3 linked regions of the Drosophila melanogaster genome follow. The protein of the gene in region 2 purifies or fractionates together with the protein of the main gene of each other region. This does not show direct contact. Each region holds a gene or a part of one and is shown on either strand. Other genes may lie near its edges. The genes, in order: CG5174, Drep1 and Strica.

Region 1 (5,488 bases), 6.4 Mb from region 2:
TTGTTTGAACGTTTATTACGCATTACGTATTTACTTAAGCGATTTTGTGAATTTTTTGTGTGTAGTTATGTGCACGAGAGATGGAATTTTTGACCGAAAGCTGCTATCGATAGTGACATTCCTTCGATTTATTTTAGCAACCATCGATAGCTAAGCAAGCGAAACAAAAAATTATTTTCAACTTGAAAGTTTTGCGACAAGTGCGTGCAGTTGGCATCGAAATAGTTAACAAAATTGCCGCAGACTTCCGGAGACAACGCCGTAATGGAGGACCGTAAGTGTGTGGCATACGGACGCAGTGCATCATTGCAATTCCAATGCAGCGGCACATGTTTCCGTGGGCTCTTGTGACCTGGGCGATTGGGACACCTAAGACCTTTCGGGTAATTCGGGTATCATTACTATTGTAGGACTCTGATTCAGCAGCGGCTTTGCCAAAAGTTTTGGGGGACTTAGAATACACAATGAGTTAACCTTGGTGCGCTGGGAATCAGCAGATGAGTCATGGTTCCGATTTGCGTAGGGTGAAAGGCTTTCCAACTATTCGGATTACCGTGGAAGTTCTGCGACATGCCATCGATGGCAATCCGTTTGGTGGGCGGGGGTCAGGTTCTTTGTGGTGTAAGTATTGCATTCTCGGTTTCCGACGTCCATGCATACGTGGCTTTTAGAAGCGCAACATCCGCAGGGCGGCTATGATATGCATATCATCTGAAAACGCCTCCTCCCACTGAGCTTATCACCATGGTGCCACTATAATTGTTCGGAGCTCTGTTCCCCCACCGAAACCACTTAGTAATTGGCTTCCACTTGTTGACTTCTCGATGGGATTGGGCCTGCCACAACAACAGGCACTTCTGAGCAGCAAGAACTCGCAGCAAACCAGAACTAGCTCACATATATATATATATATATATATAGTGTAGATATAGGGTCCATCAATGTGGCACAGTGGCTTTGTGCTCATACAGTGCTTGATGGTCGGAGGAAGCTGGGAAAAATCGGAAAAATCCAAACTGGTAATTGCTATTTAGCAAGAAGCTAAATTATGAATTATTTTCCTTTTTTTGTTTGGCTCCAACAAAGCGATACAGTTATGTACAGTACGTTTTTGCAAAGAAAAACTTTATTTATAGTTATATTTAAAGTTCCTTATCATAGGGTTTTTCAATTTTTAAAGTTGTTCATCTCCTCACAATTGTTTACTTAATAAATTTAAAAGGTACAATTAAAGAAGAATATTATTCAATTAATAAATTGAAGTCTCGGTTTATCAAAGCTTTTTGACTGATAAAATAATCATTTTAGCTGCAATTAAATTAGACACATATATGTATATCTAGTGTCTTATCAAAGCGTACTTATTATTTATGCAAATATTATTAGCTTTATAACTTTCCCATGCTTATTAATTTATAAATTAAATGAAGTGTAAAGTTGGTTACTATAGAGCTAATGTATTTACGTAGCTGTAACTTTTAGTCAAGCTCTACTGTAGTCTTGCTGGTTGCTACTGCTGCTGCTGCCTGTTGCTGCCCCTTTTGTTTAGCGCTCTTCTTGTGGCATTTCTCGTCTTCGTGCTGACACGAATCATCAACAAGCGGAGCCAAGCGGCCAACCAATCCACATCTACCAATTTCTAAGCCGAGATCGAGTCAGTTGGCATTTGGCTGTAGACGAGCGTGGATGGAGCAGGCCCAGAATCGAAAGCGAAAACGAAACTGAAATCGAAACAGAAACAGAAGAACCACCACAAACCAGCTGCGATCGCATGGGGAGAGGAATTTATGTGGAACGCGGCGGGCCAAGAACTGAAAGCTCAGCAAAGAACGATCGAAGTGGCTGAAAGCAGGGCCAAGAAAAATGTGCTCGCTGCTGACCGTGGAAACGTGATATGTGCTTAGGATTGGGCCAAGACAATATGAGCCTCCTGCGCCAGCAGCTGCCACGTTCAAAATAGAAAGTTGCTGCCAAAGATGAAAGAGAGCGCCGCTATTGCCACAGAATGAGCGAATCGGAACCGAATAGCCTGGAGTTCATTGAAGACCCCTATCTGCCAAGCATTGATGATCTCACCAGCACACCGTCACTGGATCTGGAAACCAATGATGCCGTCTTGGACTGGTATGGCGATGGGCAGGAGGAGAGCGAGGCTGAGCTATATTTGCGTAATCTGACGCTAGACCAGATATTCTACGATGTGGATTCGGACTACACCAACAGCCTGGAATTGCAGGCAGTGGAGGCGGACTTCATTGCCGCCAAGTTGGCCAATCAAGCGCCATCGTCTTCGATGGCCAAACGCTTCCGCTTGAAGTTCTTTGCCAAGCGAACCATGCGCGACGTTAAGGTCACGTTCATAGACTTCTCCAAACCGTATCTGGCCAAAATATCAAACAGTGATAACTACAAGAGATTCCTCAACATTGGGCATAGAAGTAGAGGTACCAAATTCGGTCAGTGGGGAGGGGGGTTGGTGGGCTTAGGTCGGGTCTTTGTTCTGTGGCATTCGCTTTTCCACTTTCAACCATGACTAACCAGACTAACTTCTCTGTTTCTTTCTCCTTTGCCTGCCTTTCGCCTCGTCAGTTTGTGAGTATTAACAAAAACCCAGATCTAACCAATTAACCAACTCATGTCTTTGCAAATTGTACATACTCGTATATACAACTAAATTCGGTGTATTCAGCCTATGACAAAGTCTTTGAGGAAGTTGCTTTCAAAGGAGGTACTTAAACACTACCCGCCGACAACATTGAAATTAAGCTACAGTCCCCACACAGCACCCCAAGTTTTAATGTTCCCTTGGATTGGCATATATTTAATGGCTTTTTATTTCATGTTCAGATAATACAGCCAACCTGTCGGAGCCAGCATCTCCAGCTAATTCTGTGGCATCCGCAGAAATTGCCGCCGAGTTCGCTGCGCTTTCCGTCGAGGAGAAGGAGCAGCGTCGGGCTGAGTGGAGTCAGGTAAGGAAGTTTTCAGTTTTACGATCATAATTTGATTACTCAGCTCGAACGCTAACTTCTACTTCAATTTCCAGGAGCTCGCCCGCGTTGAGGAAGAGATCAATACGCTGCGAACTGTCCTAGCCTCCAAGACGCGCCATGCCTCCGATCTCAAGCGCAAGCTGGGCATCACCGTCTGGAAGGAGGTGACGGACGACGTGAACCAGGGCCTTAAGAACCTCAAGGAGAGCACTGTGTAAGTCTATGAACCGTTCGCAGTTCTGCTGGGCAATTAACCCGACTAGACAGTTTTAATTTCTAACCATGCTTTTTGTTTCAAACTCCTGTTGAAACGCTATAACGTGTATTTATTTAGTTACCAATCGGTGGAGCAGAGCGTGGGCACGTTTACTAAAACGGTGTACGAGGCACCACTGTAAGTAATTGGGTTCAGGCTGATTTTTAATTGGGTACTTTTGGAGTTACCGGACTAACGCCGTGTTTCACGCCACTTCCTTTAACACAATAACCAACTCTCGCCTGTTTGTAACTAAAGCGCACCTATGTTTGCCCACTTTGTGTATGGAGGAAAACTATCGAGATGAGTAACTAATGTTGGATTTATTTGTACTCTCCCCTAGATACCAACGCACTGAGTCGGTGCTAAAGTCCACGGGCGAGAAGACCGCCTCGGTGTTTGGCAGCATCACCAGTGGCATTTCGTCGAAACTGTCGCAAATGAAAAACTCCGAATCGATGCGTTCTATCGAGGCTTCGGTGGGCTCTGCCTACGAGAACGTTAAAGTAAGCTATGAACACAACAATTTTATGTGCCAATCTCATGCGGTAACTACTATTTTATTATATATCTGTCTTTACACATCTCTCATACTGTTGCGATTCTGTTTTGGTTCCCGTCTAACTAACTAGCCACTAACTAACCAACTAACTAACACTAACCACACATCTTTCACACTTGCTCACCCACTATAAACGCACTCTGAATTGGGATACTTCGGTTGATTTGCTTGCTTACACAACGAACTACTCCTTGCGCAAATGCTACTGCACCTCTACTACAATCTGTTCGGTTTTCTGTTCTATTGTAGACCAAGGTGACATCCCGCTCGGGTTCGGTGTCCAGTTTCCCAGATGCCCTGGACGAGAATAACACATCCTCGGGTCTGAATTCACCCACAGACTCACTCCCGAAATAGATTTCGGGGCAACTGCAAGGCCAAGCGCGTCGATAATGTGGAGCAACCTATACTACATACAAACAGACCCACGCACCCACTCTATTAACTTATTTAACTAAAGCGAATTGTCGTGTCTGCGCACTAACAACAGGATCAGAATTAATTTAACCAGAAATCATATGTACACCTGTGTCGATACGGTTTATATAATACTTAATATAACTAAAATCTGCGCGTCAAAAATTTGCCAATGGGAGCACATATTATATGCATCTATTTGTATTTGCCTTGGAGACACCATCAAATTGCATGACTTGTTTAAATTTAAAGCCACGGAGGATCGAAGATCCAAGGGCTTGCTGCATTCGTTTATATAACTATCAATCTAAGTGTACGTTTAAAGACTAAACCACATTGGATGGTCCACCCGATGTCATTCCCAAATGTTTCTAATACTTAGTAAAAACATTAGAAAATCATGCATTGCGGTTAAAGTGAATATACATTTGTTTTACGCTTTTATTTCTTCTCTAGGCGTTGAGTTCCGTGGTTAGATGGCGTTCCCTAATCCGTTGAAAAGCCAATTCCAAATTTATTTAGTACTAAATATTTGTGTTACGATCAGAGCTTGCGTGCAAATAACGAAAATCCATTGGTAAACTTAAGTGGATGTAGTCCGTACTGCTGAAGATTGAGAAAGAGACGAAATCGCACCCAATTTGTTGCTAATGCTGATCAAATTTGCTATATGTGTATGAAATCTTTGAATAAATGCAAAAATTTTTGCCCCATAAAAATAGCGATGTCTTTTTGATAAATGATGTTTGGGAGTATATGTGTGATTACCTTTTCAAACTTAAACTACAGCTAATGAATTAAAAAAAGTTAATTTCCAATTTCATCTGTCAGCTTTAAATATCCCGCCAAAAATTATAATAAAGTTGACAACTCTGATTTAACCCAGGGATCAACGTAAAACAGCTGTTTGCTTTGACGAGGTGGCAACGCCATAGAGGGTTCTTGCATACTTCTCAATTTTTTCTTCAGGCCACAAGAAAATCTTTAGATATGAGGAATTTTAAATGAAAACAGCGAGCAAACAGAACGCATCGTGATGCCGGAAACCTAATCAACCACTCCGAAGTAAAGTGCAATTAAATTACATAGTTTTATACAACTGAAAGCGGCTGGCCAGCCGCATAAAGTATTCGCCTACACCAGCATTGTTCTAAATGCTAAAAAGTTTATTACTCATTAAGCATTTGTGTGCCTAGTTAGTTAATTAATCGCAGCCGAAAGATGAACTTGACGTACTTGTTCGTGCTTATTTGGCTGGCC
Region 2 (7,641 bases):
GTGTTAGTAGGGGATATTGAGTATGCAAAGGCCACAGGACGCTGGATTCAATTCATCAAAGCCAGGGCCACGCCCACAAAGAGACCCTTGCTGTGGGGCGCTGTCGTCACGAATTTGGGTCACCCGGGAGCTTTGAACTGTGTTAGTAGGCCATCGCAATCAGCTAGCCAGGACCTGCAAACGTCATGGTGCAGTGACGTCACGAAGGAAGTTGAATGGCAAAAGAGAATGGCGTCGAGTAATGCAATTATATGGCAGCAGCAGGTGTAGGACTCCCACTCTCTTGCTCTCTCGAACTGGAAAAAAGGGAAATGGAAGAAGCGGTGAAGGAAGGGGAAACTCTCTTTTGCCAGCGGAAGAGCAGGATGCAGTCCATACGCCCTGTTGCACACGCTTTGTGCGTTGCGCATACGCCCCGTTTGCCAGTTATGCTAGTTCAATCAACTTTAGTTTAATAATCATTTATTTATTACTTGGTTTCGTGTATATAGTTTGCCTCGGGGTTTTCACTTGCATTTACTGTATGCTTTTCACTATATTTAATAATTGTTCACTGTTTGCATTCGGTTTTAGATTTCGTTTACGTTTACGGTTTCCCTTATTGCTTATTCGAATTGTAGACAGTTACAGTTACCAACTTTGATTGGGCAATTGCAATTTGCGTTATTGTGTTCCATTATTGTTTAATTAGCTAACAATGTTTGCGCTGTCGCTTAAATTCATTTGGCTATGGATTCGGGGGCGGGAAGACGGGGATTCTGGGAGGACAGGGCAGCAGCGCTGGAGGCTTCCATCCGATCTTTCCCGAACCGCTCAAACCACGAAAAAACCTATTACACATAAATTCAGTCAGTCTCAATTGGCCTTTAACGAATGACATTCACAATGGCATTGGTCTAAAAACAATATTTGATGTGCGTTTCCACTCTACCTACTATTCGTAACACAATTTACACGGTAAGCAAATCAACAGTTTCCTGGGACAACTCCATCCAATTGGGGTTCGCTCTGGTTGTGGGATTCTACCTCAAGTATAATACTTATTTCGCTAACCTTTGATTATTATTCATCTAGTACGGCTTGGTGTGACTCGTGTATATGCGGTTAAATACGATTCCGCTGACTGTGATTGCTAAAAGACTTTTCAAATCTGCGCGGGCCTCTTGTTCTCTTGAGCCTCGTGACCCGGTGTTTAAATCTAGTACGTGTATTGTTCGTTAACTTTCATTTGCTCTTAGATACTATGAAGCATTTTCAATGACTTGATTTCGTCTCCGTTTCGTTTTTGCTGATTTCGCAGTGCCTAATTACATGCTACAAATACGATTTATGTTAACCCAATGTTGCAGGACTGATGTCTTCGGTATATCCTTTTGGCTCTTGATTTTGATTGGCGCACCCAGTTGCGTTAGTTTTCCGCCGGCAGACTTTACCTAAGACTGCCCAAAATGGGCAGTCAGATGTCGCCGTTGGCATTTGGATTTCTATTTGGATTGGCATTGGCCTCATTGGCAGCCGCTTCGGCAGCGGAGGATCCCATCGCTCCACTGGCTGTGGCGCAAGTGGTGGTGGCCTCGCCCACCGTAATTGTTATCGTCGTGTTTTGATTGTCGCACTGCACCACCTCGATGGTGCGGGTGTTGCTCGTCGTTGTGGTGCTCATCTGTCCACTCTCCGCCTCGTTCAACTGCCGTCCAATCTCCCGGTCAATGGCCTCCGCATCCTCGGGATAACGTTCCGAGCAGAAAATGGCACCAGCTTTCAATAGCTTCAGCAGATTTAAACGATCCTCGGCATTCCGCTTGGCACACAATGGCCTAAAGTCATGAAATCATGCTACAATTAAGTGGTATATGGGAAAGGAATTAAACTCACCTTCCCGCATCCTTGAGCTGCTCCATAAACTCCTTTCCCGTGATGTCCACCAACGAGTTGGGATCCATGTTGGAGAGTGAGTCCAGATCGGCATCGTTCATCACGGACACGTTGCAGAGGTTGTTCTGCAGCTGGCCCACCAACTGGCGGATGCGAGCCGACTCCGAGTTGTTGGCATCGGTGGTGTCGCCCTCGCCTCCTCCGTTCAGCTCTCCGTTTCCAGTTCCTGCCTCGTTGCCATGTGGAGTGGTTATCGTCACGTAGTGAGTGGGCTATAAACAGAGTGCAGATAGCATTTAATTTAATCTTCCTGGCTTTGGTCCCATGCTCATGGAGCTCTTTCATGGCATTCAAGAAATAATGCAATTAGTCATTATGGCAGATAAAAGGAGGGACACATAAAATGAGCTATCCAATTAAGCGGTGTTCACTTTGAGAAATGAAAATTACACAATCGCAAAACGAATTTATTGAGGTGATTTAAATAAAAAAGGTGCTGATATAATTATTTTTAAGTGCCTGTTTTCCTTTTCCTTTTATTTAAGGGCTACTCACATCGATCCAATGTTCTCCGGGAAAGACGGCCACCAGTTCCGTATTCTCGTCGAGGGTGCGAAAGTACTCCTCATCATCGATCTCCGTGCCGTCGGAGTCCAGGTGGATGGTGGGCAGGTGGTCGCACTTCTCGAACTTCTCCGCCACCTTGCTGCGGATCTCCTCCAGACTGGAGGCGCAGACAGCCTTCTTAATGTTGCGTGTTACGTCCTTGACCTGGCCATAAAAACGCAGAAGGACAGTGCCGGGAAAAGGGAATAATAAACCATTACACGTTTGCAATTACGGAGACAGTAGCAGTTACACATGGCCCCGCTCATCAAATGAATAATAAATTAATGTCAGATGGGAAACAACTGAGGTCCTATAAAATATTCACATCGTCGGCACCCAAAATAAGAAAACGGAAAAACATCGAAATGGGAAAAGTTGTAAATTTTCCTTTAGCTGCACCCTTTTTCTTGAGACAACAACGTGAACGGAATGGAGAAACTATGGAAACTTTCCGCCTGATTTATTCATTATCCTCCCGCTTGCACTTAATTATTCAGTCTGTTTCTCTTTTCAACGCAAACTTTACCCTGTTTTTATAGTTATTTAATTAGGCAATCTTTGAAAATTCCATTAAACAAAGAGAAAAGATAAATAGTAGCGCAAGTTGCTAAATAATAAATACACAACCACATTTCGACGCTGATTGTTTTCCATTCCCCGAAAAATCGCAATGAATAAATGAACGCAATATTTGCGACCACGTCATGTCCTGCTGTCAAATGTCCATTTGCTCTAATTGAGATTTATGGACGGCTTTTTCCCGGTGGGGGATGTCACCACCTTAAAGTGCCTCCCACAGCCCGACGACTTTGTGCATATTTCAGTTGCGAATGCCGAGTTCCATGAGCTCCTCTACTTTTGCTCGAGATCTCGAACGCAGTTTGACATGCACTCTAGCAGCTGCGGTGCAAATATTTGTCGTTTATCTCCCACTCCCCGATTCCCTGGCGTATCCTTTTAAATTTTCTTTTTATTTGACAAGTTATGCATGTCAGCATTCTTCATGCTGCATGCTCCTTCGCGAATGCCATAGGTTAGTGCTGTTCGCCGGTTGCAAGGACGAAGGACGCAAGCCTTTGGCTCTATTAAACTTGCATGCGATGTTAAATGATGCCTCAGCACTAAGGTTAAACGAAACATAAATTAGACCCGTCCAGATGGAGGCTCAAGGAGGCGCAACTTTAAGGGAGCAAGCGGCACGAATGCATTCCACCCAGAATTTATAGCCCCGAAACGTCGGACAGCGTGCAACTCCTTGAGGTCCTTCATGAATATTTGAGAGCACCGTGACTAAATGAAATTGTACTCGAGTTTGCATTTCGAACATTTCATTTTACTCGTGCGCCTAGCTGCTCTATCATCCCAATTCCATTTGCTCAGATAGCGGAGGAGGTCGTCCCTAAATTATCTTATAAATACTTAAAGCCACATAACTTTTGTGCCGCGAAAGCTCCAAATATTAATCATATCATGAATGCGGCGTGTGGGGCTAGAACTTTGTAACAATGAAAACTTTGCCCAACTACTGGCGCATTTGACAAGTGGGAGTCGCGGCAGCATCGAAAACAAAAGCATAGTTTTTGTTCGGAAACTTGTCAAAAGTTTTAGTCGATCGCATTAGTTGATTTTTCAAGTGGCGTCGATTTTTCAAGCGGTCGCAATTCAATTAGCAGTTTATCTAATTACCCGCAAAATTATACAAAGCTTATACAAATCAGAAACAAGATTTATTCGGAAAGTAAACATGTTTCAAAAGTGTTTCAAGTTGTTTCTTGAATGGAAATGCTATTAGGTTATATCATTAAGAGCAAATTTTTGGCACATCGTGGTAAGTAAAACTTTATTTTTTAATATTTAAATATAAGAATAATATTTAAATATTGAAATGAGCAAACACAAATGTTACCTACTTGCTACTGTTTAAGATACAAATTTCCAAACTAGCATCACTACAAGTTCAGGCTAATGTATGTGAAAGTCTAGATGAAATCAGTTAAGTGTTTTTCTAGAAGACCAGTTTATACACAAAAGTGTATGCAAAACGACTTGGGCAAATTGGTAGAGCAGCAGCGAGTTGAGGGCTTATAAATCTCAACTAACTCGAGCTGCTCAGCCATCAGGACCCGAGGGTCCTGGTCCACACATACGTACGTAGATGAACGTGCAACGACCTCCGGCGTCTGGCTCCGTTTTAGGAGCAGCCGAAGGAGACGTGCCAGGAACTCTATCATCTGCATCCAAGATGCGGGCAGAATCCACAAGTCGCAGGACATTTTAATATTTGATGGGCGTAGGCCGCAGATTTTCGAGTCGCTGGGGAAATTAGGCGACAACTTTAAATTGCTTTTGAACTATGCCGCGGCATTATGTAGATTGTTTAATAAATTATTAACAAAATGCCTGAGGCGGGTCGTGGGCGTGGCTGTTGGCTAATTACAGCGACATGTCGGGATGAAAAGTTTTCCCTTTTTAATGGCATTTTCATGGCTGTCATGGTATTTGACAGCTTTTAAGCCGATTTGCGTTTGGTGGTTTTTGAATTAAATATTTTAATAAGGAGCGGCATTTTAATGGATAAAGTGGGGGAGGGAATTCCTGGATGTTATCTCCAGTCATGTTTTACGAAAGTTGTTTTCTGTGTTTCACAGACAATTTAAATAGCTTTGTGGTTTATTGGTTTCCTTTGAGTTGTCAGCTGCATGTACTTCCAGTGGTTTTCTGCAACCTTAAGCACGTTTTTTACATCCCCATAATACTTTAAACAGCTTTCTGCTGTTTAAGCGGCAGATAAACAAATTAAACAGGAAACAATGGCCCAGCAGTCAAGTAAAACAAATGCTAAAGGCAAACAATTCCCAATACTCGAATCAAAAGGCAAATGCAAAGCTAGACAAACATGTAAAAAAAAGGACAAAGAGAAAGAAAGCAACTAAATAGTGTTTTTGAATTTGCAAAGTCAAATTTCAGGCAGTTAATGCTTATTACTGAGCTTTCGGCACTCTCTTAGCTTGAGCTTTTGGCTCTCTTGAGTTCTGAAGTTCAACCCAGTTTCCATAAGAATCCAAAAAAAAAGGAAAAAAAGTAGCGAACGCAGCACGCGGCCAACAACAACAAAGGCGAAAACAACAACGCCCAAAAATGGACATGCCAGGAAAATAATGCATGCACTTAAAATGCAATTGTTCGTCTGCGGCCTTTATTTCCATTTACAATTACAGGGGGAACTCACTTTGAAAGGCTTTTTGGAGTCGCCCGAGTTCGCTGCAGTCTCCATGGCTTTGTTTGCTCCAACTAAATTACTTATTCACTATGCACTTTATTTCCAGGCTTAATTGCTCCACATTAAATGACTTTTCTATAGATTTGATTACTTTTCGCTTGCTTCTTGCACTTGCACTCGGCGTCCGAACAAACAAACTTGGAATTTCCTTCCACAAGCTGCACTTCAAATGGGAATTAACAATATTTTCTCGGCTCCGCAGCGGAGCTTTCGTTGCGATGAGCACCGGTTTTGAAATGAGCGCGTTTTGCTCAAAAGCACTGCCTTTTATACGCAGAGAAAGGGCTTCTAACAGATGTTGAGTTCGAACTGCGAGTGCTCGCTTTTAAATGAATGTTAACTGATAGGTTCAAATAATATTTGTTTTATGTCCTATTGGCCATGTTTCTTTTTAATCATGATAAGTAAACATATTTTTGAAGCCTAACACTTTTTTTTTTTATATTTTTTTTTTTATAAATTATTCCCTGTAGATTTTGGTTATTTAATTAATTAATATTGTATCAATTTTTTGTAAAATAGGTAATAATGTGCTTCTAAAAGAAAACACTAAACAGATTAGAATTTTAAATATATTGAAACATAAAGCTTACAAAGAGAAAACAAACATAGTCAAAAACACGTTCTCTCTCGCTGAATATGTTAACATTTGGCTGTGGCCTAGTCCCTAGAAAACACAAAGAGTTTGCTGGAACAATCCTGGCTGAAAAGTTAAGGTGATTCCAGCAATCTAATCTCTATTTCCATCGGAAGGTGCTTTCGGATTCAATTAGTCCATTGGGAGGGGTTGCGCATTATCAGCCCAATGATATCCGGTGTTGTCAATTCGAAATCCCCTCGCCCGCTTGGAACCCGGCCAAAAGAGCAGTTGGACTACGCTTAACTTTCTACACAAGTGGCCAACACCCATTTAAATCTATATACATCTATTGCCATGCACACATCAACGAACCGTCCAGATAAGAAGAGCAAAAAGCAAACTTTTGACAAATGGCCAAAATACATGAAAGGAAAGCCAAAGCCGGAAGGTGGCCCCAGATTGGGTTCTCATCAGTTTGTGCACGGCGAAAAATAAAGATTCTGTTATGATACTAAAAACTAATAAAAACTATAACTTATTGCATACTTATCAGCGCCTAATTGAGCAAATGGATTCCATAAAGGATAAAGGTATGTAGGTATAAATAGGAATGAGTAGTTTTCTTTTAGTCATACGAATATCAACTAACTTTATATAATTCTCAAAAGTTTTTCCACGTATAAAACGGTACTGAATAGCCCGGAAAAGAGGTGGGCATGCAAGTATGGGGGAGATCAGAGATGGGGCAGCCTTAAATTGTCATCCTAGTGCGCACCATTGGTTCCTCGGATGCTGATGCTGCTTCTGCTGCTGGCAGTTTGCCCCGTTTGCTGTCATTGCACTGCACATAGTAACTTCTACGTGTCCTGCGGAGGAGAAGCAGCAGTGGGTGGTAGCTGTGACTATTTTAAGCGCAGGTCACTCGAAAGGACGCACAAGGACATTGGCTTGTGTGGGTGGCTGTGTCGCCTGCAGTTCGCAGGTCACGTGCATGCACCGCGGTGCATTGACCACGGACACGTTGACACATCGGCCGGAATCTGGGTTGAGCTCCACCTCGAAGCCAGGTGACAGGTAATTGCCTCACGGGCAATCAGGCAATAGGCAATATCGAGGGAAAACAATAAATCAACGCCTGGCGATATTGGTTTTACTAAGAAGCATCAAGCCGCTCGAGAATGTTTAGTTTAACTGAGCCAAAAAACAAAATACACATAAGATAGAGGATTATAAGGACAAAGAGCAAACAAAGAAACAGAATAACAAAAAACATTTCATCTTAACAACTTAATCTTTT
Region 3 (5,220 bases), 6.0 Mb from region 2:
ACAGTTGAACTTAAAAAATGAGTAACAAAAAAATTAATAAGAACAACGCATTCACTCAATTTTCAGCAAATTATTTAATTTAAGCTAACAAATAAGAAAGCTAGCTTGATATAGATAGATGGCGTTATGATCAAAAACAACGAAACTAGGAATTCTTTGAGATCATTTACAACTACTACTTTTTGAATTTTCCTTTCTTAAATGCCCTCTTAGTTAAATTAAAAATCATTTTTCCAGATAAATGTACTTGATACCTCGTTAAGCCGGTGTTTTCGTTTGATATCAGAAGTTTTTAAACGAAAATTATTTGTTAGTTTTCATATGAGTTTACCTCAATATCATACCACAACTTCCCATATCCATATGTATGTAAATTAATTATTAAACAAGAGAGAATGTTATAGTCGACTTCCCCGGCTATCAGTAACATGTACTCAGCTTTTGTGAAATTCACACTCTGAATGCGAACGAAATTTTTTAATTTTTCTGGGATATCGATAAATATTGGTGAATAAAATAAGAAAAAATTTAAAAACTGTTTAAAATAAGCAGTTTTGGGCGGTTTATAGGGGTAAGAGTGGGGGTGCCAAAAATTTTTTGGCAAATCGAAAGAAATTTAGAAAAAATAATACAAATATATACAAATATAATATAATATATATATATACAAAAATATCAAAACATTTTGCAAAAGTGTGATCGTGGCAGTTTTATGGGGTTTGTGGGCGTTAGATTGGGCGTGGCAACATGGGTCTCTAGAATCTGTATCCAACCTTCCAGCTTTCATAGGTTCTGGGATCTTGACGTTCATACGGCCGGAAAGACGGACATTGGTCGGAAACGCTTCCTTTTACATATTACATACTTTTCAAAGAATCTAGTCTACCCTTTTACTCTACGAGTAACGGGTATAATAATGATTTTTAGTATTAGTCCATATGTTTAATGGAATTCATACATATACATTCAGACATATACATATGTACATTAAAAAAAAAGAGAAAATGCCATATGTGAGCGCTGTCAGATGCCCGTTACTCATCTGATAAATTTAAAAACAATAAATATACCTTCATATATATGTATATGTACGTTTAAAATTGATAAGGTAAAAAGTAAACAAATCATTTCCCAAAAGTGATGACGTGACAGGTTTGGTCGAGTCAGTTTTGGGTGGATTGTGGGCGTTAAAGTAGGCGTGGCAACGGGACAACAAACTTGCTGTACGAATATGTATTTGTATAGTATCTATGTGCTTAATCTCAACCTCCTTGTTTTGATAGTTCCAGATATCTTAACATATGTACATATGTAAAAAAAACTTTTTTGCTTTGTTTTAAACAGCTGATTGGGTCATTGCCTGTGTTCGATATGATTCTTGGAATTGCTAATTGTTAAAATCAGCGGTGTGAATACTTGAGATGGCTTCCCAATTACGTATGGGTAACAAATAAATACATAACCCTTGACGAAAACATAAATACAAAATAAATAATATTTAAAATTATCATTCATTTGTTTATATATACATATATATATATGTATGTTGCATGTATGAATGGATCGGTCACCAGAAGAAATTGTTCAGAATAAAAGAGAGAGTAAGAGCGAACCATATACACGTGTTGGTGAGCTAAACTCGTTCGCTTTGTTGACAACAGGAAAGATCATAAAGGCATTAAAGGTTTTTGGATATGATTGGGAGATATGGTTATCACCCACGTCGGAGTGCAGATAACGGCCACCACGGAGCGCCACAGTTTCACTCCAGTGGTGCGGCGGAGGCTTGCGATGAGTAAGCCTCCTTATCTTGGGAGCGTTTTTATTCTGAATTCTCTCCGAGTCTTTCAGTTCAGCGAGAACCGTCGAGCTTCACAAAGCAACTACAGCGCAGTGCGTGAAAGCCAGTTTAAGACAGAAAGCTCAACACACGCAAACCGGAGTCATTATGGGTTGGTGGAGCAAGAAAAGCGAGACGGATCGCAGTCAGCCCAGCCAGGAACTGGTGGCGCAGGACCCGCGCACACGAGTCCAGACTACGAGTGCAGCCACGGAGACGACCAACACAGCCGTGCAAAACTCGACCATAACGGACAACAACAAGCAGACGGTTACCTTTCTCACCACCCGCCAGACGGTGACGCACACGCAGCGGGCGCTGATCACGGAGACGACAACGCGACGCACGCCTAGTCAGGCGGAGTTAGAGGCTCTCTTCGCAAAGATAAAGATGGGCGGTGAGGGACCCATTGGCTCCACCACCACCACTACGACGACCACCTCCTCGCGCTCCCGACCGCCCAGTTTGAACGGCGTCTCCTTTCGCTCCACACAACCCTTCAAAGCCACGGCAAGCAATGCTGGCAAACGGTCAAGCACCTTAGTCAAGACCGAGCAGACGACAGTGACCCAAAAGAATGGGCGCACGGTCACCCAGCACCTGGAGACTCATAGAGTGGACCTCAAGGGAAGTCGACCTAAGGCGACCTGGGCGTCATTTGCGTCCACTGCAAACAGCTCAACATCCAGCTACGTCTCACCTTATCGTCAGAAGCCAAGCATGGCCATAACTTGCACATCTCCCAACATCAAGACACCAAAAACCACTAGCTCCACGTCCAGTTCCAGTGCCAGCTCCATTACGAGTCCGCCCAAACCATCATCATCTGTATCCTCCATTTCAAGCATTTTCAAGTCCGCTCCCAAGCAAGTTGACAAGCCGCTCAGTTCTACCGCAACTCCCAAGCCCTTCATTAGTCTGGGATCGTCAGGAGGCACCAAGCCGAAGGTCACTGCCGTCGCGCAATCCCAAGATGCCCAGGGCACGATTTCAACGAGCCTGGGTATCTCGAAATCAAGCCTGACCAAGAACAAACTCAAGCCCGCCCGGGTGTATATCTTCAACCACGAGCGGTTCGATAACAAGAACGAATTCCGAAAGGGAAGTGCCCAGGATGTGAAGGTCTTGCGCGCCACCTTTGAGCAGCTGAAGTGCAAAGTGGAAGTTATTACAGATGCAACCCTGGTCACCATTAAAAAAACAGTGCGAATGTGTAAGAGGAGAAGTGTAGTTTCTCGGCTTAATCAATTAATTTTTAAATTTTGCAGTGCAAACCAAGGACTTTGAGGACAAAAGCGCTCTGGTCCTCGTGATCCTCAGTCATGGAACGCGCCACGACCAGATCGCAGCAAAGGATGACGACTACTCCCTGGACGACGACGTTGTTTTTCCCATTTTGCGCAATAGGACGCTTAAGGACAAGCCCAAGCTGATTTTCGTTCAGGCCTGCAAGGGCGACTGCCAACTAGGGGGCTTTATGACCGATGCCGCGCAGCCCAATGGGTCTCCAAATGAAATCCTCAAGTGCTATAGCACGTACGAGGGATTTGTATCTTTTCGCACGGAGGACGGAACTCCTTTTATTCAGACACTGTGTGAAGCTCTTAATCGATCGGGGAAGACTTCAGACATCGACACCATAATGATGAATGTGCGTCAAGTGGTTAAAATGCAATCCAAGTAAGAAACTCCACGTGTTTATATATGACCCCATAAATAATTATTAAACTTTATTTTAGAGACCGCCAAATTCCATCTGTCACTAGCACTCTTACCTCTAAGTACGTTTTTGGAGATTATATTTGACCATAGATCTTAAATCTAAGACACGCCATTAAATATCAAAATTAATATATATGTAAATAGCACATGGATAGATGTATGTACATAGTATATAGCACATAGCGTCTGGTCCACGTAGTGACGAAGCGTACCAGAAGAAGGTGATATATACGAAGAAATGAAAATTTGCGATGGTTGTCCGATCTTAGCTTAATATAACAATCGAGAGGTAGCTCACAAACTAAAGAGGCGGTAAAAGTGTGAGGCTAAATATTAAAAAAAAATTAGTCTGGGGTCGGAATTGTTAAAGGAAAACTATTTTCGGTAACCAGAACCTGAAAATATGAAAAACTTTTTTTTATTTTGGTCGATTTTTTAAGAACGGTCATCGCATGTAAAATGTTAAACCGTGTGCCCTTGAAATTTTTTAACTTTTATTGTACTAAAAATTAACGTTTTAATGTTATTATAAAATAAAAACAGTTATTTTTTCTCAATACCAATATAATGACCCATTCTTACCAATAAATTAGGTATGACCGTTTGCTAACTCTAATTTAGTGTAATGGTACCAATGATAAATGCCATACAGCTAAAAGAATATATGTAACATTAGTTTTGTATATATGTATATTCTACACAAAAATGTTTTGATGTTTCAACCAAATTTTAAGATTCATATATATATGCGCATTTTGTTGTAGATGATTAGCGAAAAACATGTTTCGAAAAATTTTAATATACCGATATTCATAAAGGGCAGGCAATAATCGAATGACTTTTTGGTGATGTAAAATGGCAAAATCACTGCGCGGTTCTCTGAAAATCGCTGAATACCTACATATGATATCTATTTGTATACCCGTTAGTTGTAAGCAAAATATACAAAGTATATGAATTCTTTATCAGGATCACTAGCCGAGTCGATCTAGTCTTTTTAATTGTCTTGCCTTTTTTCATCTATATATGTAAATCTTGAAAAATCGTCCCAGCAATTGTGACCAATAAAATTATTTATTGCTTTGATTCCGGATGAAATAAATATTGACATATAGAAGAAAATAAAGTTTAAATGTCGTTTCTAAATTTGTCATTCATATTTTAATTAACTGCAACCCAAATCTAAGAACCTTATATTTTGTATTAACTGTTTCCATGCGCTTGTTCTATATATATAGAAATTTCATAAAAGTTAGTCCTTAAAACTTCAAGTATAATTACATATAGCGACACTATGTGCCTTTATTTAATTTTTAATATACATTTTTGATTATTATATTTTCATCCAGACTGGGAATCGTTTATATTATTTACAATTACATTTTAATTTCTCCAAAATATTTTTTGAGGACTTCAATGTAGTTGCACTTGCAGATCGAAGGGATAGTCTCTTGAATTAAGACTCTGCCTGAACAGTTGTGTGTGTTGCCATGCTACATCGCCCTTGCCACCCGTAAGTTTGGCCACTATTTTGAATCCAGTGGCATTTTCAACCGAAGCGCTTCCGTCGGTGGCATCGACAGTCACGCTGATTTTTCCGTCGCCAAAAGTTTTTGTCTCGAAAACTAAGTTGTAAGACTTAACCTTTAAATTGGTCT

Evidence for each region.
Region 1: the proteins of Drep1 (region 2) and CG5174 purify together in Drosophila melanogaster (affinity purification with mass spectrometry, with the first as the bait; one large-scale study listed by BioGRID). This does not show direct contact.
Region 3: the proteins of Drep1 (region 2) and Strica purify together in Drosophila melanogaster (affinity purification with mass spectrometry, with the first as the bait; one large-scale study listed by BioGRID). This does not show direct contact.

What each region holds. Positions count from the first base shown.
Region 1 is NT_033778.4:18,421,280-18,426,767, forward strand, and holds CG5174 (uncharacterized protein), read left to right. Parts: upstream 1-1,652; 5' UTR 1,653-2,005; coding exon 2,006-2,456; intron 2,457-2,589; coding exon of another isoform or gene 2,590-2,592; intron 2,593-2,689; coding exon of another isoform or gene 2,690-2,728; intron 2,729-2,847; coding exon 2,848-2,972; intron 2,973-3,046; coding exon 3,047-3,207; intron 3,208-3,327; coding exon 3,328-3,387; intron 3,388-3,592; coding exon 3,593-3,797; intron 3,798-4,060; coding exon 4,061-4,168; 3' UTR 4,169-4,684; coding exon of another isoform or gene 4,685-4,726; 3' UTR 4,727-4,942; downstream 4,943-5,488. Other genes in the region: PIG-O (phosphatidylinositol glycan anchor biosynthesis class O), read left to right, coding at 5,450-5,488.
Region 2 is NT_033778.4:12,042,981-12,050,621, reverse strand, and holds Drep1 (DNA fragmentation factor-related protein 1), read right to left. Parts: upstream 6,011-7,641; 5' UTR 5,759-6,010; coding exon 5,714-5,758; intron 2,647-5,713; coding exon 2,431-2,646; intron 2,148-2,430; coding exon 1,876-2,147; intron 1,818-1,875; coding exon 1,457-1,817; coding exon of another isoform or gene 1,430-1,456; 3' UTR 450-1,429; downstream 1-449.
Region 3 is NT_033778.4:6,019,771-6,024,990, reverse strand, and holds Strica (Ser/Thr-rich caspase), read left to right. Parts: upstream 1-1,846; 5' UTR 1,847-1,948; coding exon 1,949-3,053; intron 3,054-3,108; coding exon 3,109-3,520; intron 3,521-3,579; coding exon 3,580-3,646; 3' UTR 3,647-4,680; downstream 4,681-5,220. Other genes in the region: Pngl (PNGase-like), read right to left, coding at 4,976-5,220.